Cricetulus griseus: one gene and its partner. The protein of the gene in region 1 purifies or fractionates together with the protein of each later gene. This does not show direct contact. Links are inferred from orthologs where the notes say so. Each region holds a gene or a part of one and is shown in the gene's direction. Other genes may lie near its edges.

Region 1 (12,131 bases):
GCATGTTGGGAGGAGTTTGGGGAAAACGGAAAGAGGAAGTTGGAAGTAGATGTGGTCAAGATACACTGGACGCATGCATGAAATTGTCAAGTAATGAATTTAAAGTATCCTAACAGCAATAACCCTCCCCCCAAAAAACAGAAAACAAACAAACAAACAAACACACACACAAGCAAACAGAAACCTAAGTAAGGGTTGGGGAGATGCTGAGTCAGATCTCAGAACCGAAAACAGAACAACAGAAACAAGTGTTATGTAACTACCACATGGGCTCCGCATTTATGTTATTCTTCACTCAACAGATGTTTAGCACAAGGTTACAGCAATGATGTGCACACAGGCCCTGCCCTCTTGGGACTGATACTTTGGTAATGCTACAGAAACTTAAGTGAGGGCTGGGGCGGGCGGGGGGGGGGGGCTCGGCTCAGTGGCCAAGTACTTGCCTATAGACCCTAGGTTTGATCCTCATCGCTAGAAACAGAAATAAGAAATTAAATGGACCAGAAAAGTGATGCATATTTTGTGGTTAGAAACATTGTGAAAGACAGAAAATACATTTGCAATGTATGCCACAGCTTTCCTGAGAGTAGATGTCAGATACTTTCACTGCACACCAAAAGTAAACCAAAACACCATTTTGTACATTAAAAGAAAAACACAAAAGTAAAAAACTCTCTCCACACCTCTCCCCCCACCCACAGAGTCTATGTTCTCTCCAAACTGAGTGTGTGGACCAAGTTGGCCTTGCACTCACAGAGATCTGCCTGACTCATCTTTTTTTTGAAAGAGTCCCATGAAACTCCTGTTGGCCTTGATCTTGCTATACACCTGAGGATGACCTTGAACTTCTTATCTTCCTGTCTCTACTAAGGGTTGGGGTTACAGACATACCTAACTACTATATTCATATATATATATATATATATATATATATATTTCTGGTGATGGAACACAGGTTTTGGTGGCTGTTAAGCAAGCATTCTTCTCACCTATCTCTTTAATTGGGCCAAGTAGGCTAACCTTACCTGTTGGGCTATCAGAGCCTGGGTTTCCCCAACACAACTCTAGTTACAGCACCAGTTTCCAATATAACATTTCCCTCTTACCCTGTTTAATCCCCTATATAGATTTTTGTACCCCATGGCATTAACATATGCTTTAGCTGGGTATGGGGACTGTCTTAGGGTTTCTATTTCTGTGAAGAGTCACCATGACCATGGCAACTCTTATAAAGGAAAATATTTAATTGGGGTTGGCTTACCTTCAGAGGTTTAATACATTATCATCATGGTAGGACATGACAGCATGCAGGTAGACATGGTGCTGGAGAAGGAGCTGAAAGTTGTACATTTTGAGCAGAAGGCAACAGGAAGTGAACTGTATGCCACTCTGGACATAACTTGAGCATATATGAGACCTCAAAGCCTGCCTCCATAATGACATACTCCCTCCAACAAGGCCATATATCCTAATAGTACCATTCCTTGTAGCCCAAGCACTCAAACACATGAGTCTATAGGGGTCATACCTATTCAAACCACCACAAGGCTATACATCTTTGATTCCAGCACTACTGGGGCAGAGGCAGGCGGCTCTCTGTAAGTTCAAGACTAGCCTGGTCTATAAAGTGAGTTCCAGGACAAGGAAGACTACATAGAGAGACCCCTGCCTCCAAAAAAAAAAAACCACTTTAAAAAGAAAGATGAAAAATAATAAAAAGTAGAGAAAAGAGATTAAATTAATATGGTAGGGAAAAGAATAAATAAAGGACTTAACTTTGGGGTACTGACATCAGCTTTAGATGATTTGCAGAATTGAATCAAGGGGTATGTATAACTAGAGATGGGGAGAGGACAGTGCTGTGCAACCATGGGGACCTGGGTTTGGATCCCCAGCACCATACAAAGCCAGGTGTGGCAGGATGCACTAACTAACACCATCAGTTTTAAGGGTCAAAGACAGATGGATCTCAGGAGCCTTCTAGCCAGCTCATCTAGCCAAATCAGTGAGACTCAGGCTCAGTGCTCAAAATCTGAGATGGTAGCTATTCAGGAAGACACCTGACATCAACCTTTGACCTCCACAAGCTTGTACACACACACACCCTCCACATATGAACGTGCACATATGTATATACCACATATGTACAAGAAGAAAGAAAGCAGCATTTATGATTAAGGAGTCAAAGTCAAATAGTGATCTCATCAACCATTATCTCTGCTCTGGTTCTTCAAGGTGGTCCAAAGAAAGGAGACTGGTCCCCTTTGTAAAGACGTCACTTCTGCTCTGTGGTGAAGCCTTGCTTGCATCATAGATACTTGCCCTTATCTAGAAGTGGGAAATAAGTTGAGGCTTTGTTTTTCTTGGAATCCAAGGTGATCATAGATTTTAAGTCATTGACTTCACTTTGTGCTTCCAGAATCATAAGCTAGGTAGACAAAACACTCCTGAGTGATTAACATGCCTTTGTAGTCAAGGAGCCTTTATCCAAAACAAATGAGACAGACAAAAAATGAAGACAGAGATACCAGGCCTTCATCTTTCTCTTTATTATCCTGAGGGCCTAAGTGAGGAGTTAGCACATTTTAACAAAAGGGTTTTGTTTGTTTGTTTGTTTGTTTTTGAGACAGGGTTTCTCTGTGGCTTTGGAGGCTGTCCTGGAACTAGCTCTTGTAGACCAGGCTGGTCTGGGACTCACAGAGATCTGCCTGCCTCTGCCTCCTGAGTGCTGGGATTAAAGGCATGCGATATCACTGCCCGGCTTGGTTTTGTTTATTTGAATAAGGGCCCCAAACTACCTCTGTGGTGGAGGATGACCTTGAACTCCTGACTCTTCTGCCTCCAGCTCCCCAGTTCTAGTGACATGTGCCACCACACCCAGTTCAAGAGGTGCCAGGGATCAAACTCAGGATTTGTGCATACTAGACATTCTATTGCTTGAGCATTTCAGTTCCAAAGGAGCTTTTAAATTTAAACATCTGCTACCATGCCAGTAAGAATTTTTTTCCCCACTTCAATGTTGGGGATTGAAACCAAGCCTTTGAATTCTAATTAATTTAGCTGTGGGTTGAAGAGATGGCTCAGTGGTTAAGATCACTGGCTGTTGTTACACAGGATTCAGGTTTGATTCCCAGCACCCACATGGCAGATCACAACTGTCTGTATCTTCAGTCTCAGGGCTGGCCTCTACGGGGAACTGCATGCACAGAGTGCACAACATGCAAACAAAACATACATACATACATAGATGTAAAATAAATACAATTAAGCTGCATTCCTTTCCCTTAGTATTCTGCCCAGCCTCTGAATATTTGTTAAACAAAGACTTCATGGCACAAAGCAGACTGTTAATTGTGTATGTGTTTAAGGAAACAATCCACATAATCTCAGGAACACATGAGCAGAGAAAGAAAATGAGATCAGAGAGGTAACTTCTAAGTTACCAGTGTATAAGAGGATCACAAATTCAAAGTCAGGATGTGGTGGCAAATGTCTTTTAATCCCAGTACATTTGTGTGTGGCAGAGGTAGGTGGATCTCTTGAGTTCTACACAGCAAGTTCCAGACAAGCTGAAGCTACACAGTCGAGACCTTGTGCTCCAAATAAGGCAGGGGAAAAAAATGTTCAAAGTAATCCATAAATAACATAGCAAATTTAAAGGCAGCCAGAGTAACATTAGGCCTTGTCTCAAAAAAAGAAAACCAGACAGGTGTGGTCTGATTCACATCACTAATTCCTGTACAACCAGGTTTACTTAGTGAGAACCTGTCTTTAAAAAAGAAAAAAAAAAAAAAGTGAGTACTGATGAAAAGCAGAAAACAGAAGACTTAATTTGTTGAGAAAAGGAGCAAATAAAGAAGTCTAGGATCCCTATTTGTTTGGGAGGTACTGACATAAGCTTTAGGTTTAAACAAAGAATTGGGGGACTACCACCCAGAGAAGGTTCCCGCAGTCGTCATACACACACACACACACCCGGAAATGGTCGTTTATGGGGCTAGGGTAAGAAGCCAGGGCAGACGCACTGACCTATGATGTCATTAGGACGTTAAAGTCCTTAACATCACCTGGAGGGAGCTCAATTTCCCTTCCCCGACAGGTCCGGGGAAAGCCGATTCTGAATGCAGGCCCTCATTGGTTACGCCCTCTGTCAATCCACTTCATTGTTCCAGTCTTCCGCCCCGCCTTTCCCCCCTCTGCTTCTGATAGGCTCCTGAGCCTGTCACTTCGGAAAGGTCCGCATTCCTTCCGCCTTTCTCCATGAGACCGAGGGCTAGAAGGGTGGATCCCAAGAGGCTCCCACCCACCTGAGCTCGGCTCCTAAGTCTGATTGGCTTGCTCGGGTGCCTGTCACTACCGCTTTCGCCGTTGACTGGTCGTCGGACCGCCGCTCTGCGCGGCGCCGGTTCCGCCCCCGTCGGGTGTTTGTGGTGGGGCTGCGGAGTCGCCGATCCCGCCGGAAGCGCCAGGACAATGGGGACCCGGGACGATGAGTACGACTACTTATTCAAAGGTGCGCCCGGTGGAGTACAGGCGGGCAAGGGCGCGGTAGCGACGGGAGGGTCGAGGCCGCAGTACGGGGCGAGAGGGTCCAGGGTGGAGCCCCAGGCTTCAGCGGGGCCCTATCCCGGGTAGAGAGTCGGAGGAAGCCACGGCAGGCCGAGCTCACTAGGCTTCGGGCCCTAGTCCGCAGCAGTGAGAAGAGGGAGGCTTAGAGAGGCCTGTGGACCCCGGATGCACCGGGGCGGGGCCGGGCCCTGGAGAGGGTGGGGCCCGGAGTGGAAGGCGAGGCCGTTGGGGCGGGGCTCCATGAGGGGCGGGGCTTCCCTGGGTTTGGCTGGCGGGCTGCGTTGAAAGCGTTGACAGCGGGGGGTTATAGATGGGGTTAGGGCAGTTGAAGAACATTGTGGGCGTGCCCAGGAAGCCTGATTGGTGTGAGACTTCTAGGGCTGGGCCTGGACTGGTAGGGGCGGGGCCTGCCTTTGGGGGGGGTGGGGCCTGGGTCACGTGGTGCAGGAGCCCTAAATTGTGGTGCCTTGGAATTGGGTGGGATGGTGCCTGTGTGTGCAGCGGTAGTTCAAACTCTGAGTAAATGATGGAGATGTAGTTCAGTTGGTAGAGAGAGAGCTTGCCTAGCAGTAGCAGGCACAAAGCCCCGGGCTTTATCGCCAGCACCGTATAAACCTTGTGTGATGGTGCAGGCGTTGGGTGGTCTGCGCTTGGGAGGCAGACGTAGGAAGATCAGAAGTGCAGAGGCCAGCCTGGATTACTGGAACTCAAAGGAAAAAAAAAAAACACGTGGATGACATTGGGCCAGTACATACACTGTTCTGAGACTTTACATTAATGACTCCTTTTAATCCTCTTTATCAGTTTATACAGTCCATATTATCCAAGAAACATGCTTGTAAGTGGTGCACACCTGAAATCCCATTACTCAGAGTTGGAGTCAGGAGGATCTTTTTCTATTTCAAAGTCAACCTGGGGGTGATGAGATAGGTCAACAGGTATTTGTGTGTGCTGCCAAGCCTGATAACGTGAATTCAGTCTTGGGGCCTACATGGTAGAACAGAGTCTGCAAGTTGTCCTCTGTCCATGTCACATGAGCCCACGCACATACAGCACACAGAATAAATAATGTGATTTGGCCAACTGTGGTGGCACTTGCCTTAAGTTCCAGTACTCAGGAGGGAGCTGAAACACACAGTTCTGTGAAATTCAAGGCAGGCAAGCCTGGTCTACATAGAGAGTTCTAGGTGTGGTGGAATGCCAAGTGAGACCCTATCTCAACAAAAATTTTTAAAGATAACATCAGTTACATAGCCATATCCTGTCCTCAAAACAAGAAGGAAACTGAAGTTCAGAGAGACAAGTTCCTGAGGGAGGAGCAGGATTGAGCTCTGGACAGTTTAGGGAGTTTTTGCCACTTAGGGTATGAGCTTTGGGGCAAGTTTTGCAGCTTAGATCTGGAACAAACAGGTGTCAGACCTCCCCTCAACACATACACATCCAACCCACTGGAAGAGTTTCCTACCTGTAGCATGATCAATAAAAGACCCAGAGACTGATATTGGGGTTCAAACTTTAAGCTGAAGATCAGAAAAGCAAAGCAGCTGGCTATTAGTTCTTTCTTATAGCTCAGGCTGAAAGGCAATCCTGGCTCCACCAAACCTCATACTGAAATCCCAGACTGTTCTGCTCTCTTCCGAGAGGCTAGAGAATCTTTAGACTCCAATGTCTTCCTATCCTCAGTGTGGCTGGAGAATGAATGCCAGCTCTGAGACCCTGTTCCTGTCTAAATAACCTTTCATGAGTCCTGGGATTAAAGGTGTTGGCTCTGTTACTCTTTTAGACTGATTCAATCTCGTGTAGCCCTGGATGGCCTTGAACTCAGGGAGATCCATCTGCCTTTGTCTCCTGAGTCCTGGGATAAAAGGTGTGTACCACCACTGCCTGATCTCGGTAGCTTGAGGCTTACTTGCTTTCTGAATCCTCAGGCAAGCTTTAATAAAACATACTATATTACCTCACCCCCCATGTCACTGGGGTCCCTCATTTCTCTGATGAACATATTTAGGGGTCTCTGGCATGATGACACCTTCTATGCCAGGCGGGCTTTTTGGTCCTGTGCTGTTTATGCTAGGCTCCCCACCAGACAGTGGCTGCTTTTGAGCTAATTTCTGAGCACTAAAGGGACACACAGTTGCCCTTCTGGGAGTGTGTCCTGGTGCTTAAAGCCAGCCTTGGCATCTTGGGTTTGTGGAGGTAGTAGGGATAGCCATGTGACAAAAGGTTCCTAGGCAGAGACAGAGGTCTGCAAAGATGCAGAGTTAACCACATAGCACCATGGCCTGGTAGTGGGCTGTGTCCAGATGTAAGTGATTAGCAGGTGTAGGCTCCAGGTATCACTCTAGAGGCAGAGGATGATTTGGAAGGATTTTTGGAGACCAAATATTTGAAGGGCTTTCTGGTGATGGGTGGAACAGACTCAGGCCCTAAAATGGCAAGGACCTGTCCCCACACAACCTACCCTGAGGAAGCTTCAGGCAGGACAGGGAATCTTTTCCCTTCAAGTCAACACATTGAGCATCTGTGGTCATTCCTTGCTTGTTTTCGACCTTTTGCTGTTATAAATAGCTTGGCATTGAATGTGTGCCCAAGTCAAGTCCTCTCTGTGCCCTGTGGGCTGTTTCCTTGATGTGCATTCCCAGAAGTGCAGTTACTAGGTCAGGGGCGATGAAGCGCCATTGCCATTCCTGGTACTTGTCTCCAGAGCTCACTTCCTGGAAACACCAATCAGCTCCTGCAGCAGCTGGCTGGAGGGAGTGTCTGCCTGCCCTATTGCCCACCCCACTGGCCTCCTTTCCTGATCTGGCAGTTGCCTTCTTCAGTTTGTAGTAGCTGCCTAACCCCCAAGGTCAGCATCCCACTAATGCTCACCCTAGGTTTACTCTCCATTCCTTAGAGCTCATCTGAGGACCCTTTAACATTTGTCCTTTTCATTCAGATTTTCAAGCCATTAAATTAGAAAAGGAAGTGCTGGGGAATTAAAAGGGAAGAGAGATAGCAGCAGGCAAACCACTATCATCAATCACATCACTTGCCTACATGTGGCAGGTCCCCCAGAATGTGAAATCACTGTACCTGCCAGTCCCTCATGACAAGTGTAGTGACCTGGTCGGTCTTGGAGAGGCATCCCATAGTCAGTGACAAAAGGATATGGTCAAGGCCAGCCTAGGTTACGTAGTGAGACCATGTCTCTAGAAAAACAAAACAAAACAAAATCTACAGTTGCACCAGAAGTGTTGAAAAGGACTGATCTTGTCACTATGTGGCTCTCTCTGCAACCTCTAGAAACTCAGAAAGGATAGTGTCTGGTGCCTCATCCACCCCTGATTCCCTGTGCTCAACCAGCCTTGCCTGTCCCCATCCTGGGCTTTCCCACCTTTCCTTGACATGGAGGGCCACAAGTCTTTGCTAGAGACAGCTCCTACACACTCTCTGTCTCTCTCTGTCTCTCCCCCCCCCCCTCTCTCTCACGTTTTTTGGCAGCCACATTACACATTGGCTCCCTTGACCTTAAGACGAAGGCCAAGAGGTCCCAAGAGTAGGTGGCCACATGCCATTTGTTTTCTTCTGCAAATAGTCTCCTCTCTCTCAGGAGTGAGGTTGTTTATTTGTACCTAATTATAGATCCTCACGTTTTTTCTCCCAACATTTTCTCCTGTTAGCTGCTGGCCATTTTCCCAACCTCCTGGTGTATCCCCAGGGATACCCCTGACTTCTCCTCTGAGGAACACTTAAGTTAGGAGTGCCACACTGGGATCACCTAGGGCCCCATCCTCAGATGCTTTTCCCAGAGTTCCCAGCCAGTTAGTGCCCACCCAGGTTTCAAGGACATAGATTATGTGAGAAGCACAGGGGCCCTGTTCTTTGGGTTGTACCCACCCCTGCCCAAGTACATAGAAATCACTAGACCCCAGGAACAGGGCTAGCCCCAGAACTTACATCCTTCTGTCAAGTACACCAAGCTAGGCAGCATGCCTACCAGGCCTACTGTGCTGTGCTAGTGACTCCCACTTGCCCCAAAGAATAATTGAGGCAAGAATGCTCCCCTGTGCCAGTCCCTGGGACCTGGAATGGTTAGTGCCCACTTCCTAGAGGACACCTTCTTCCCTACACTGAATAGCTGCTCAGTCAGCCTGAACATCAAAGGCTCTAGGGGTGCTACCCTGTCATAGGACAGGCTAGAGCATCCAGGGCTCCTGAGAGTTGCCAGATCTTTGTTTTTGCCAACTGGGCTTGCCTGCTTAGCTTGCCAAATGCCATATCCAGGGGGACCATTTCCCGGCCAGCAAAGCCACAGACTTCTTTGGAAATGCTGGGGGTTGTGTCCTCAAGGTCTTATTACTTTCCCAAGACAACTGGTCACTTGTTTTTCTTGACAATGCCATTTTCACACCCATCCTACATGCAGAGGCAGCCTAATCACCACCCTGGTATATCAGGTACCCAGTGCCAGGGATGGCCTGAACAACCTAGCCTTCCTGCTGTTCAGCTGGGCATAGTCTGTGGACCCTCAACCTGGTCTGTGCTTTCTTGTTCTCAGTGGGTAACCTTGCACTGGTAATTTGTCTCTGGGTTGCATGTCCCTAAATGCAGCTGCATTATTGACATTGTGTCTGTCCCTGGGGTGGCTCTGAGAATTTGCTAAGCCTAGGCCAGTGAGGCATTTGGGCACAAGCTTGACCCAAAGTTCAGTCCTAGTCACAGTGCAGCTGCCATGGTCACAATTTCTGGAGGCTATGCAACAGAGGCAAGGCTGAGAAGACAGAGGGTGTGAGAGATCTCCTGAGCAGGGCAAGTTTTCCATGTCATTCCTGTGGGCGTGAGAATAAGGAGCAAAGCAGCTCCTGGGGAAGGAGGTGAGGGATAGATGCAATGGAGAGTGACTCCTGCACTCTAGCTTGTTTCCATATGGCAGCTCCTGTGGGAAGGATGTGAGGGATAGATGCTATGGAGAGTGACTCCTACAGTCTAGCTTGTTTCCATATGGCTCAGCAGCCAGCCATTGCCCCAGCCAACATGCTGGGGAATCCTTGGCTCTGGGTTACAGGCTCTTGTCTATCATCACCTCTTTCTCTGAACTTGATTTTCTTATACTGAGTACCCACAGCGGCTCAGGAGGATGCTGAGCCTGTCATTACATGTCTTGTGGTCCAGGCCATATGATAGTCTGCATGGAGAGGAGAAACCTGAACTAAGTGAAGGATCTCACAGACTATAGGATCTTGAAAGATGAGCAGGGATTTGTTGGCTGTCCCTGAAGGATGCCTACATGGTGGGAAGCTGGGAGATAGGCAGGCTGAGGTGCATTGGGCTTCACTGCCTCCAGGAGGTAGAACCAAGACCCCTGAATTGTATGCCAGGGATGAGGGGAGAATGGCCTGGAAGATGTGAGATTGATATGGAAGGGAAAGACCTTGTTCCAGAGACCTGAGTTCACATCCTGCCTAGATGACTTCCCAAGCAAGTTGCCCTGGACATGGATTGCTTAGTGAAAGTGACTGGGAGGTGGGGGCAAATTTGCAGATAAACACAGACCCTGACTCCTGCTTTGCCTCCATGCTCCTGGTCATACAATGTCTTGGGTTCCCCATCTCTCGTCTGAATCTCAGTTTCCTTCTTTATAAAATGGGCTGTGTGAGGCCATATATGTCATCTCTGCAGCCTCTTTTTGTCCCTCTCATATGAATCTGTTTGTGGTTTTTGTTTTGTTTAGTTTTTTGGATTGTTTGTTGGTTTTTGTAGTTTTGTTTTTGTGGAGTTTTTTGTTGTTTTGAGATACGGTCTCACTATGTAGCCCTAGCTGGCCTGGGTTTGCCTCCTGAGTGCTAGGATTAAAGGCCTGAGCCACCATATCAGGCTTGTTTTGTTTTGGGGGGTCTCAGGAAGCTTAGGCTTGCATCAGACTCACTATGTAGCCAGAGATGATCCTGAACTACTTCTGCCTTCACATCTAGTTTAATGCAGTGCTGGGGATCAAACCCAGGCTTCATGCATGTTTAGACAAGTGCTCTGCCATCTGAGCAGTATCATCAGTACTGTTTGTCCTTTGAAACAGGGACTCAAAATGTAGCCCAGGCTGCCCTTAAACTCATGATTCTGGTGCTGCAGCTGAGTCCTGGAATTATAGGCATGTATCACTATGCCTGCCTCAGTCTTATTATTCTTGGCTCTAAAGCAACCAGCCCAGAAGGTGAAATGGGTTGGGATCCCTGTTTTTGCCCCATCCTCACCTGCGACCTGAGGGGGGTGACCTGGGCATCTTCCCAGGGTGTTGTAGGCATGTCTAGGGTCATATGAGGTAGGCAGGGGTGTGCTGATTCATTCCACAGATATTTGTTGGCACTTACTGTGTGCCAGGCCCTGTGCCAGGCCTGAGGATACATCAGGGAACACGCCTATCCAAGATCCATGCTTATGGGGCAGACTAGCCACAAAAAAAGAAAAGAGCGAAACCAGACACATGTGAGGGTTTCACGAGCTATGGAAGAAACACTAGGGCAGAGAATGGGGAGGGTTGGGAAAGTATGATTATAATAGGATTGTGGAGAGGGTCTTCTTGACCAAGTGGCATCTAAGGGGCTCACAAAGAGGTGAAGCAGGGGCCAAAGAAAGAGTAGCCTGTGTAAAGGTCCTGAGGCAGGACTGTGCCTGATGTATCCGGGCAGAGCAAGGAGCCGATGTAGCTGGCTAGAGCATGTGGAAGATTGAGGAAGGGAAAGAAAGAGGCTTCAGAGCATGTAATACCATGCCTTGTGGGCCCTGGGGAGGACCTGCGCTTTGATTCTTAGGGAATTAGGAGCCATTCTGAGGCACTGCCCAGGGCAGACAGTCTAGCTGTAGTGCTCACAGATGTCTTCTTGCGGCTGTGAGGAATACAAGCTTTTGGCTGGGACCTCAAGAAAAGACTGATAGTATGATAACAGTGTAAGGTGGTGGCTTGGCCTTTGAAGGTGGCAAGGAGCAGGGAACTAGACACACACACATGCACACATGCATGTTCTCTCTCTCTCTCTCTCTCTCTTACACACACACACACACACACACACACACACACTTTGTCCAGCAACTGAGTTCATATAGACAAGTACACACAGGGCTGAGGATGTAGTTCAATTGGTAGAGCATTTGCCTAGAAGGCATGAGACCCCTGGTTCCATCCCAACATCACATACACCAGGTAGGCATGGTGGGGAATGCCCGTGTCCCCACACTTGAGAGGGAGAGGTAGGGCAGTCAGTAATACAGGTATTCCTCAGCTACATAGTGAATTGGAGGCCAACCTGGGCTGCATGAGACCCTGTCTCAAAGGAAAGTATCTTCACTATCTGAAGCCACCTTGTTGAACCCACATGGAAACAGAATATTACTGGCCCCCAGAAGTGCCCTGCAGTGTCCCTTCAATTACGAAGGGACTGCAGAATTGACCCTAGAGTCTGAGAGGAAGAAAGGACTGGTTGGCCTCAGTACCTTCCAGGTTGACTGAGCCATTGGCTAAGCTAGGGAAGGTGGGGGTGGTACCCAGTGAGCTGATTGAGTGACCAGGACACTCTTCTGTTGTGCCG
Region 2 (12,131 bases), on another chromosome or scaffold:
TTTATTTTTCAGTGATCACAGAATAAAATACATTGGATTTTTAAAAAAGGTTGTTTTAAATGTTATATGTGTTTTGCCTGTATGTATTTATGTGTACCATGTATGTGCAGGGGCCAGAAGAGGGCATCAGATCCCCCTGAACCAGAGTTACATGTGGTTGTGAGCTGCTATGTGGATAGTGGGAATTGAACCTGAGTCCTTTACAAGAGCATTGAGTGCTCTTAACCACTGATCTATCTCTCCAGCTCTAGAATCCACATTTAAAAAGCCAGGTTCAGAGCTGGAGAGATGGCTCAGAGGTTAAGAGTTCAATTCCCAACAATACACAAATCCATAATGAGATCTGGTACCCGCTTCTGGCATTCAGGCATATATGCAGGCAGAACACTGTATACATAATAAATCTTAAAAAAGAAAAGAAAGAAAAGCAAATAAAGAGTAAAAAGCCAGGTGCAATGGTATTGTTTATAACCCCAATACTGGGAGGCAAAGACAAGAGGATCGCTGGGGCTAGCTGTCCAGCCAGGACAGTGAAATCCTGTCTCAAAAATATATATAACAAAACCCAAAGTGGATGGCACCTGAGGCAATACCACCAAAAGTTATCCTCTAGCCTCTACAAATGTGTACATGTGCACATATAGACTTACACACCAGCAAACACATGTACATAAACATGCACACAACAGAGGGTCAGTGGTGAGCGATTTAGAGACTAGTGAGAATATCATACTTCAATGTTAAATACTCTTCTCATGGTTTTGCTATTTGAAAATAAGATTTGACTATAATGTACTATGCTTTTCATGGATTTATGATTGACACTTAGAGACTGTGGGGAAGCTAAGCAGCCTGCCAGCATTCAGGAGGTGGGGGTAGGAGGGTCTCAGATTTGAGGCCAGGCTAGGTTACATACACAGTGAGATCCTGTTTTGTCGAGACAGGGTCTCTTTATGTAACTCTGCCTATCCTGAAACTCATTATACAGACCAGGCTGTCCTTGAACTCAAAAATCTGCCTGCCTCTGCTGGGAGGGTACCATACTCAGCTGAAATTTTGGTTATTTTCCCCCCAGACAAAACAAAATAAGACTAAGGCTTTAAAAAATAAAGGAAAATATGAATGTGGAAAAATTAATTTACTCAAACATATGGATTTAAAATATTTTAAATTCACTTTTGAAAAATATAGTTTTCCAAATAAAACATCAGTGAGATACTTCACATTGTTTTACAATTTCCTAAGTCTCCTTTATGCACTACTGAATTCTCATGTCTGCTTCTAAAATCAATCTGATGAGGTATCAACAAATACAAACTGTTCCTATGGTAAAAACAATGGATTCTTAGAATGCAAAGGTAAATGTTTCCCTTCCTGTAGACAGCAGTTCTCAACCTGTGGGTCATGACCCCTTAGACAAACCTCTGTCTCCAAAAATATTTACATTACAATTCATAACAGTAGCAAAATTATAGTAATGAAGTAGCAACAAAAATAACTATGGCTGGGGGTCACCAAACATGAGGAATTGTATTAAAGGGTTGTGGCATTAGGAAGGTTGAGAGGCACTGCTACAGGAGCTCAGACTTGAAGAGACTACAGACTGACTAAAAATGAGGCCTGTAATCCTAGCTACTTGGGAGGCTGAAACAGGGTTGCAGGTTTGGTGTGTGTCTGGGCAACTTACTGAGAACCTAGCTCAAAAAGGGAGCAGGGCTGGGGATACAGCCCAGTGGTGGAGCACTTGCTTAGCATGCAAGAGGCTCTAGATTCAATCCCCAATATTGCATAAATAAATAAAAGTGTCAAGATATAGGTAGAAACAAGGCTGGAATGTATGAGCAGAGAGAAAACAAAGCAACAACAACAACAAAAAAAAAAATTGACAACTCTGAGCCTGTAGAGCTAAACAGAAAACATAACAAATGCTTTTTACTTACTCATGACTAAATTCTATACGTACTTACATGAGAGAACGGACTCATTTGGTTAAAAATTTACCACTGACTGTAGCTATAAACAATGCTACCTCTTTTTACATTTATTTATTTTGTGTGTGTGTGTATGTGCTACAGAGCACACATGGAGGTCAGAAACAACTTCCAGGAGTCACTCCTCTCCTTCTACCATATAAGTTGGGTACTCACACTCAGGCAATCAGAGTTGGTAGCAAGCACTTTACCCACTGAGCCACTCACCAGCTCAAAAAAGTTGCTACCTTTGAAATAAAATCCTCAGTTTGAATAGAGATATTCAATTCCTGAAGTCTTGTTTTTCTGTCAATGGAAAAATCCCAGGAGGCTGAGGAAGGAGGATCACTATATACATAGTCTGGTCTACCTAAGTGCCTCAAAAACAAATGATAAAGTGAGGTGCAGGCTGGTTGTGGAGGCGTGGCTCTCATTACAGTCCTGAGAAGGCAAAGGAAGGAAACTGGGGAGTTTAGGCTAATCCCAGATACATGAGACCCTGTCTCAAAAGCAAACAAGTGAAAAGGAAGGGGTGGCTATGGGAGAGAGTGAGCAAAGTAAAGCTGTAAATATGAGTATGTACACGTATTTGTCTCTCTGTGTTCATAAAAATGTCATAAATGGGCAGGGCAGTGGAGGCACAGAGGCAGGCGGATCTCCGTGAGTTGGAGGCCAGCCTGGTCTATAGGGTGAGTTCTAGGATAGCCAGGGCTACATAGATAAACCTATCTCAAAACCAGCAACAAAACTAAACGGTCATAAATAAAACCCATTATTTTGTATATTAAAATGTAACAAATATATTACTAAAAACAAAACACAACTCACCTATGTAGGGTGGTACACACCTTTAATCCCAGCACTTGGAGGCAGAGGCAGGTCGAACTCTGTGAGCTTGAGACTATCCTGGTCTACACAGTGAGTTCCAGCCCATGCAGTGCTATAGAGAGAGAGACCTGTCTTACAAAAACAAAATTTCAGCCAGGCAGTGTTAGTACACACCTTTAATCCCAGCACTCTGGAGGCAAGAGGCAGGCGGATCTCTGAGTTCAAGATCAGCCTGGTCTACAAGAGCTAGTTCCAGGACAGCCTCCAAAGCCACAGAGAAATCTTGTCTCAAACAAACAAACAAAATCCTGCCAAAAGTACTGGCTCAGGCCTATAATCCTAGCATTTGGAAGGCTGAATTGATGCAAGTTTAGAATTAATATGGGCTTTATAATTAAAGATTAACCCAGGCTATAGTGAGACCCCCGTTTCAGAAAACAAACACAAATTAAGAAAAACCCTACTATAAAAAGGGCTTTCAGCCTGGTTGTGGTGGTGCACACCTCTAATCCCAGCATTTGGGATGAAGAGGCATGTGGATCTCTGAGTTCAAGGCCAGCCTGATCTAGAAATAGAATTCTAGGACAGCCAGGGCTACAGAGAGAAACCTTGTCTCAAAAAACAAGACAAAAAAACCAAAAAGGGCTTTTATGCCTCATTTTGTATTGTTTGTTTTAATCTATCCAGCCTGTCATACCTCTTTTTATAATATTTAAAGAATAATTTTAGCCCAGCATGGTGGCACATATCCTTAACCCAAGCATTTAGAAGGCAGAGACAGGCAGATCTCTGAGTTTGAGGCCAGCCTGGTTTACATAATGAGTTCCAGGACAGCCAGGGGTATGTAGAGAGATCCTGTCTCCAAAAACCAAATAAAGACTAGTGTTGCGGCCCCATGGAATCCCAGTCTTTAAGGAATCCGTAACATTTAAACTCTAGGCTAGCACAGGCTCACCACTTCTTAATATAGCTGATGACTTAGGGTCCTGACAGGTGGAATGGCGACTACCTACCACAGTGACAGATCTAAGCCGGCCTTGGCACCCTGTTGCTCTGCTGTGCTTATCTTCCATTACTGCAATCCTCCCCTTTAGCCTAGTTTATGTTTGTCCTGTCCTCGTGATCTGAAAAACTCACATTCCTACTGTTCAGTATGTAATTTTTTTTACCCTTGAATGCTCTTTCTTTTTTATCCCATTGGATACTATCTAGTGTCTCTCCTAAGTTCTGCCTTGCAGTATTCATATGAAGCCTGCCATTCACTCACCATAGAGTACGCAGCCAGGCCTTCTGTGTCAGTTTAACAAGGTTCTGCCCTGTGTCTACAGCAAGTAAGAACTCCACTGTTCTACTTTTGTACCTGCTGCAGGTTTAAGCAGGCATTTCAAGCTATAGCTCTAATTTTATCTAATTTTATGTTTTGCCTCCATGCATGTATGTATGTATGTATGTATCTGGTGCCCACAGAGATCAGAAGGGGACATTGAACCCCTTGGAAGTGGAGCTATGGATGGCTGTGAGTCACCCTGTGGGTGCTGAGAATTGAACCCCGGGTCCTCTCCAAGAGTAACAAGTGCTCGAAACCATTGAGCCATCTTTTCAGCCTCCGCAAGCTACAGCTCTCTATCTGTCTCTCAACTGAACACTGAAGCAGGGACATTCATCACTTGTATTAATGTTCTAACAACAGGCATGTAATATTATAGTACTTTCTTGATATTCCCCAACCTCCCCAAACCTTGGAAAATGATATTACATCAGGCATTATTGTTACTATATTGTTATAATATTGTCATTGTTATACAGAAGCTGAGGTTTAGTCTAGCATGGGGTGGGGGGCATATGGATATATTCCTAGTTACTCCACAGGCCAGTGGCTTGAACCAAGGAATATTAACAGCGGCCTGGAAAAAAAATATACTGTCTCAAAAAAAAAGGGGGACTGGTGGGAGGGGGTAGAGGGGAAAGGGAAAGAAAGAAAAGAAGGAAACTGAACGATCTCAACCAGCTCGTAAGTACAGTGAAGATGGCATCCAAAATCTAGGTTCAACCAGCTGCCAGTAGAATATTAAGATTCTTACCCCTAGTAAGGGCCTTAGATACTAGGAAAAGTCTCAGGAAAAGACTACATTGGGGCAGTGATTCTGAGGTTCAATAATAGTAACGAACAAATTAACACAAAACCAACACCAGAGGCCTGCTTATGTCTGTTTAGTCGCACGTGGTTTTCTTTGGTTTGGAAAAAGTGATATGTCCTCTAAGCCTTTGTCATTTCACTCACCTCTCCTAACCTGGCTTGTCCAGCCTCTCAGGTCTAGGCGACTGGACGCTGGAGGCCAAAGGCTGCCCAAGCCGGGGTGACCTCGGAAGCAGAACCTTGGCCCAGAGTGTTGCTGCTAACGGTGAAAGATTGAGGCGGTTGGACTGCGCCATTCCTGAAGCTACAGGGGCATACTTTTGGCATCGTCCTTAAAGATGAGTAGGAAAAGGAAAGTGAGGGCGATTGTCCTCCTCTCTGGTCCCTTCTCATCTGTTTTCTGGCCTTCCATCATGGGTCCCACCGGCTGATTTACGAAGGGATATCCTGTAGGACAGGAGAAGGAGAAAAAGTCACTGATGGCAATTACAGTAACTCGGTGGCTTATACAAACGAATTATTTACATATAATTTGCCTGTTGGTATACTTGTGGAAGTACGTAAAATATCAGTACATCCACATCGTGCCACTTATCCAGCCCACAGTACTTCCCTCTCGGCTTCCTTAGCAAAGCCTGCCTCTGAGGTCCGCCCTCAAACCCCGGGCCCTCCTTCCACTGAGACGCTCCTCCCTGCTTCCCCGCCCCTTCCCCCGCTTCCAAATCGCTCTTCCCCGCCCCCTTTTCGTTTCTGAACAGGCGTGACTCGGGCAGCTCGGCCGACTCAGATTACTATGGCATCGGTAGTGTCCTGACAGTCCGGGAAGTAGGAAGGCAAATCCGGGGAAGAAGGGCTCGGGCCCAGGAGACTCTTACATCGAAACCCGCAGAAGAATTGTTATTTTGGGTCCTGCTTGTGAGGTCCGCTCCAACTTGAGGCAGCGTGAAGGCCCTTTCAGGCGGCGCCGCGGGCAGCCCCGCAGCCGGGGCCTGGTGCAGCCGCCGCGGCCGCTGTCAGGGAAGCGCAAGGCGGCCAATGGAACCCGGGAGCGGCCGCTGCTGCTGAGGCGGCGGTGTCGGCAGTCCGACCCCGACCGCCTGCACCCTCTCCGCGAGGGTCCCCCGGAGGTAAGCGACTCCTCCCCCATGAGTCGCCTTTGCCTGGGGGCGGGGGCGGGGGGAGGGTCCTTCTGCCATCCTGTCCCGCACAGCCTACAGCCACCTGGGTTCGACTACAAAACTGCCCTCCTAGTGGGAGCTGCACCCTGAGGTTCTTCACTCTTTCTCTCGGGCCCGGGGTCGTCTTCTCTGCTTTCTGGCTTCCTCTTCTGTTTAGCCCCTCCCTCTGTCCCGTGGATTCCACCTCCCCCCACCACCACCACACACTTCTTTCCCCTGTTGCCTCTGTCCCTTAACTAGTTCTCTAAGCCGTGAACCTTTTCCACATTACACCCCTTCTACAATGTCCATCCTTGTTTGCCCTTCCTCGCCGTTTGTGTTTCTGCGCCCAAATCTTTCCCATGGGGTCCGCCTTTATCCCTTTTCCTATTTCTCCCCACTCCTCGTAGTCTGTGCAACCTCAGCACAGAGTTCCCATTTCCCTCAGCTAGAGATCGTATCCCTCTCTTGTGCTTCCGATTCCATTACCTCACCTTAACCCACTCCCCCAGCTCCTGGCTTCCAAGAATTTCCAATTCCCTTCTTGAAGGCTCTCAGACCGTTGTCATCGTGTCCAAGATCCCATCTACTTTGACCTTAGTGCTCAACACTTCTCTGGGGTGCCTGATGATACCTGTAGCTATCTTTGGCTTTCTTTTCCCCTTTCTCAATCCCCAGGCCTCCGGAGGATGGTTCCTGTAGGAAAGAGAGGTGATGTGAACAGCCCTTCAGATTAGGGATTTCCAACTTGTGACACACACAAAAATCCCCATTCCAGGATTTTGTCGATCTTTGTCTCCCTGGGTTCTGTTTTCCCTGTGGCCTCTATCACACCCTTTATCTACACACATCACTTATTTCAGATCAGCTAAACCTTGAACTAAGAAGAAAATGTTGGGAGGAGGGGAGCCTCAGCTGTCTCCGGCTTTTGTGGACAGATGTGTTAATGAAGGATGGAACAACTTTTCAAGAAGTCGCTATCAATCACATTATATTTCGTTGACTGTTTAGGAGCAACCACTAGGAGAGAATGACAGGCCTTCGTGGAAGCTGAATGAAGTTATGAGAAATTTTGCTTCAGATTATTTATTTTGGGACTTGGTTAGGTCACAGGATAGTATCTACTACTCCTGTCTAGACCAAATCATTACTTTACTGGACGAAGTCTAGTGGAATAGTGTTGGTTAGTTTCATAAGCACTTGGCCTAATGGGTGAAGTTGTGTGTGTGTGTCTGGGAAAAGGAACATGAGATGGTGTAAAGGGCCGGCATGTTCAGGATTCTTGGTTCAACATGTAACTTCCTCACTTGAACTTGAAAATTCTCTTTTGAGAAAAATGGCCCATTCTTTAAGTACCAGTGCAATAATAGGCTAGTAGCAGGATGTCTTTTGGGAGAAGAATTATACTTTTTTAATTTATAAAACACTGCAGGTTCTTAGGCAAAATGTATTTATTGCTAGTGATTTTGTCATCTTGAGATTTTCCCTTTATTTTGATATTTTGATCTCTCTGATCTCTCTGAGTATAAAATCAGTTTGAAACACAAGCTCCTGGCCTGCTACTTTTCAACCCTGCCTTTTTTTTCTTCTATCACACCTGTGCCTTTCCTTCTAAACTTGATCCATAACTCCAAATTTTGTGGTCAGAAATGTGTTTGTAGAAGAGCCCTTGGAAGGTAGGAGCATGCTGGACTTAGCAGCTAACTAGATGCTGCTTTGTCTTGCACATCTCTTTCAACCTTAGATAATGAAGATGGCACAGGCACGCTATTCCTCTTCCCTCTCTAGGACTGTTCAGGTCTGAAAATAGTTATACAAGCCAGGCAGTGGTGGGGCACACCTCTAATCCTAGCACTTGGGAGGCAGAATTTGGATCTGAGTTCCAGCCTGGTTTACAAATGGAGTCCCAGGACAGCCAGAGCTGTTACACAGAGAAACCCAGTCTCAAACTGCCCCCCCCAAAAAAAAAGAAAGAAAAGAAAATGGTTATACCATGTTGGCCCACTTCTTACCCCAAAATTACTTGAAGTGCAATCTAGTAATGATCCCCATTTATGGGAGACCGTCCCTCCTTAGATGCATCCTTAACCAGAAATCATACCTCTAGTTTTCCTCACTTCTCATCTGTTCCACACTGCATAAGTACATGTTTCCTGAACACTAATATAGCAAACTGAGAGCTGCTTTGGTTTGGGAAAGAGGTTTGGGAGTATCCTTTCAGTAATTGGCCTGGGACAAAAGAGGACCTAGTCTAAAGCACATTTGGGACTTAAACAAGGAGGACTGGTTCAGAGATAGGTGAGCAATGCAGGTTGCTTCCTTTCCCAGCTGTCAGTCTCATCAGGGGCTCCTGGAGCAGGCTTGGGCTGTCTGGCTGGAATCTGCTTCTACCTGCTCCCTGGCCTTGTACAGAGTTCTCAGCTTGATCAATATTGACCTAACTACTGTGAGACCACTGCCCTTCCCCCAAGGCCGTAGTTGAGAATGCCCTCTTCCCTGATGCCACCCTCCTTTGAGACCTTGGGCAAGCATACTTGGTTCCTGGTGGGGCTTGAGCTTGCTGGACTGCTCAATCCAGAGTGTCTACAGAAAAAAATGTAGAAATCATTCTTCCTTTACCATTAAGGTGAAAGGGAAAAGATGAGCTGAGTTCTTAAAGATTTATAATAGACCTTAAGACATGGGAAGGAACTTTTTTAGGAAAAAATTTTGATGGATGTTTTGCCTGCCTATGTATCCATGGGCCACATATGTGCCTGTTACCTGCAAAGGCCAGAAGAGGATGTTCGTTCCCTTGGAACTGGAGTTAAAGATTGTTGTGAGCCACTCTGTGGGTGCTGGGACTTGAACTCAGATCGTCTGCAAGAGCAGGTAGTGCTTGTAACTGCTGAGCTGTCTCTCCAGCCCCAGCAAGGAACTTCTTAACAGCAGAACAAGCAGCCTAGGATGAGACAGGGCCCCTTTTGAAGAGCAGCCTATTTTTAAAAATTGCTGTTAAAGGAGTACATGTACTTGGTGATATTCAATAGGATTGTAGGAATTTATGATCAAAACTAACAGTCCCTCTCCCTTCATCTGTACTCATACTCCCTCAAATCAGAGCTAGCTTCTGTAATTATCTCAGCATAAAGTTCTATTCAAAGCTTATTACCATAGCACTCATAACACTTGTTCTTAACTCTAGAGGTTTGGTTGTAGAGGATTTATACTTGTTTGGGTAATTATGACATATTTTTGTTTCTATCTGAGCCTTTCTTTTCCACTAACTTGGATTGGGTTTGCTGGGGATTGAAACCCAGAGTCTTGCTCATGTTAGGTAAACCCTCTTTTTCCATTAACTTTCACTGCACCTCATACAGTAAGATACTGGCTCCTTTATCTTCTTTTCCATTTCTGTGACCCATCTCAGAGGATCTTAAAAGAAAGAAAATTGAGCTGGCCTGCTTGCTTGGAAGAAGAGCCCTACACAAGATGAGTTCTAAAAAGTCATTCTGTGTGCCAGGTGGTGGTGGTGCTCACCTTTAATCCCAGTACTTGGGAGGCAGAGGCAGGCAGATGAGTTTGAGGCCAGCCTGGTCTACAGAGTGAATACCAGGACAGCCAGAGCTATTACACAGAGAAACTCTGTCTCAAAAAAAAAAAACAAAACAAAACATAACCAGTCACTTTGTGGAAATTCTGAGTATGTTAAAGCATCAGGATCGGTGTGAAGCAGTTCACATTTATCATGCATGGTAAAAGATTTGAAGAAGTAATGGTGATAGAGTAAGGGACTGATTTGGGACTTGGTGCCTTCCTTCCTTCCTTCCTTCCTTCCTTCCTTCCTTCCTTCCTTCCTCCCTGCCTCCCTCCCTTCCTCCCTCCCTTCCTTCCTGCCTTTCTGTTTTGTTTTTCGAGACAAGGTTTCTCTGTGGCTTTGGAGACTGTCCTGGAACTTGCTCTTGAAGACCAAGCTGGTCTTGAACTCACAGAGATCCGCCTGCCTCTGCCTTCCAAGCACTGGGATTAAAGGCATGTGCCACCACCGCCTGGTTTGGTACCATCTTTCTTGAAAGGCCAGTCCAATTAGTCTTTTCATGAAGACCTTTTTCATTAACTTCTGTGAAGGTTGCCTGCACAAAGTTTTTGAGGTGCTCTGTTGAAGACATCCTGGTTAAGGGATACTGTCCCCTCCAGAGTCCTGTAGACATAACTGCTCAAGCCCACAAAGCTCATATGTTGCTACCTTCTCTGCCAATTCAGAAGCTGCTCTGTACCCTGATACTTAGACTTTTTCTACTGTATTAGTTACTTTTCTGGTTGCTATCACAAAATGCCTGACAAAAGCAACTTATAGGAAAGTTTGTTAGGCTTACAGTTTTGAGGTTACAGTCCATCACAGTAGGTGGAGCTGTGTCAGAAGTGAGACAGCTGGTTACTTTGTGTCTGCCTTAAGGACAGAGAAAGCCATGAATGGTTGGTCATACTTAGCTTACTGTCTCCTTTTGATCCAGTCTTGGGCTACAGCCCATGGAATGGAATCTCCAATATTAATCACCTCAATTAAACTCATCTAAAAAGTCCCTCGAAGACATGCATACAGAGACTTGTTTCCATGGTGACTCTAAATTCTATGAAGTTGATTTAAGGTTACCCATCATGCCTACCTTGCCCTGTTCCATGGGGTACAGTTGTCAACACTTTAAGCTCTGATCTTTCCCCAGCCCCCTCCTCCTTTCCTAGTAGCCAGGCTGCTAGGCTCAGACAAGGAGGCCTCTTCTTTTCCCCTCCAGTCTGTCTTAATGGAGAGTTTAGACTCCCAGTGTGACGTAGATCCTCAGCTGTATGGATGCTACGGCTTGTAGGAAGAAGAGTGATAAATGCAGGACTTGTTTCTCCTCCCTTTTTTGTTGCTACATCTTAATCCTTTTACTTTCTCCAGAATAGTTAGTGCTCCAAGGTTTATTTTCATTGTATGTATAGATGAAGAGATTAATGTTGAAAATCATATTTGAATTAGATTTTGGAGAATACCTTATTTCTGCTACTCATGTATATGTGTCTCTGCCCATATATGCTTATTTGTGTGTACATACATACATGTGGAGGCCAGAAGACAACTTCATGTTGTTCATCAAATGCTGACCAACAACCTTTTTTTTTTTTTTTTTTTTTTTTTTTTTTTTTCTTTGAGACAGGGTTTTCTGTGTATCCCTGGCTGTCCTGGAGCTCTCTGTAGACCAGGCCAGCCTTGAACTCACAGAGATCTGTCTGCCTCTACCTCCTGAGTGTTGGGATTAAAAGCATGTGCCGCCACCACCCCAACAACTTTTTCTAAAAGACAGCAGTTCCTTAGCTTGCAACTGGCTAAGTACAATAAACTGACTGGCCGGTAAGTCCTAAGGATCTTCCTGTCTCTGTTTCCCCAGCACTGGAGATCACAATTGTATGTTACTATGCTAGGCTTTTTGACATGGGTTCTGGAGATCAAACTCAGGTCCTTGTGCTTGCAGATCAAGCATTTTCCCATCTGAACAATCTTTTCAGTTTCTATTTCTATTATCTTAATTGCCAATATGATCTGACTATTCTCTCTGACTTGTAGTCCCAAGTCCCCAAGAGCCAGGTGGTATGCTTATATAGCCAAATAGAGATGCTTGTATAAAATAGAAGTTAGGCTTATCTGCCCTGCTTTTTTTATTTGGTTTAGTTTGGGAGGGGGAGGTTGTTTTTTATAGTTTGATTTTAGTTTTAGTTTTGACAATACTCTCTTATAGTTCAGGCTGGGCTCAACTCACTAAGTAGCTGAAGATGACTTTGAACTCTTGATCCTCCTATCTCTACTACCCAAGTGCTGAGATTATGGCATATACTACCATGCCCTGCTTTAAAAAAAAATTGTGTGTGTGTGTGTGTGTGTGTGTGTGTGTGTGTGTGTGTGTGTATGAGGGGGGGTGGAGGACAGAGAGGTACACACGTACCACACCATAAATGTGAAGGTGAGAGGAAAACTTAGATGACTTGATTCTCTCCTTCTGCCTTAGGCTCAAGGGATGGAAC

Evidence for each region.
Region 2: the proteins of Rab11b (region 1) and Pi4kb purify together in Homo sapiens (co-immunoprecipitation; 3 studies listed by BioGRID and IntAct, with this or other methods). This does not show direct contact. The link is inferred for Cricetulus griseus from reciprocal best matches to the Homo sapiens genes RAB11B and PI4KB.

The regions. Positions count from the first base shown.
Region 1 is NC_048598.1:95,212,438-95,224,568, forward strand, and holds the start of Rab11b (ras-related protein Rab-11B), read left to right. Parts: upstream 1-4,354; 5' UTR 4,355-4,473; coding exon 4,474-4,513; intron 4,514-12,131. UniProt on the Homo sapiens protein: The small GTPases Rab are key regulators of intracellular membrane trafficking, from the formation of transport vesicles to their fusion with membranes.
Region 2 is NW_023276806.1:61,524,410-61,536,540, reverse strand, and holds the start of Pi4kb (phosphatidylinositol 4-kinase beta), read left to right. Parts: upstream 1-5,922; 5' UTR 5,923-6,062; exon of another isoform or gene 6,063-6,097; intron 6,098-12,131. UniProt on the Homo sapiens protein: Phosphorylates phosphatidylinositol (PI) in the first committed step in the production of the second messenger inositol-1,4,5,-trisphosphate (PIP). May regulate Golgi disintegration/reorganization during mitosis, possibly via its phosphorylation.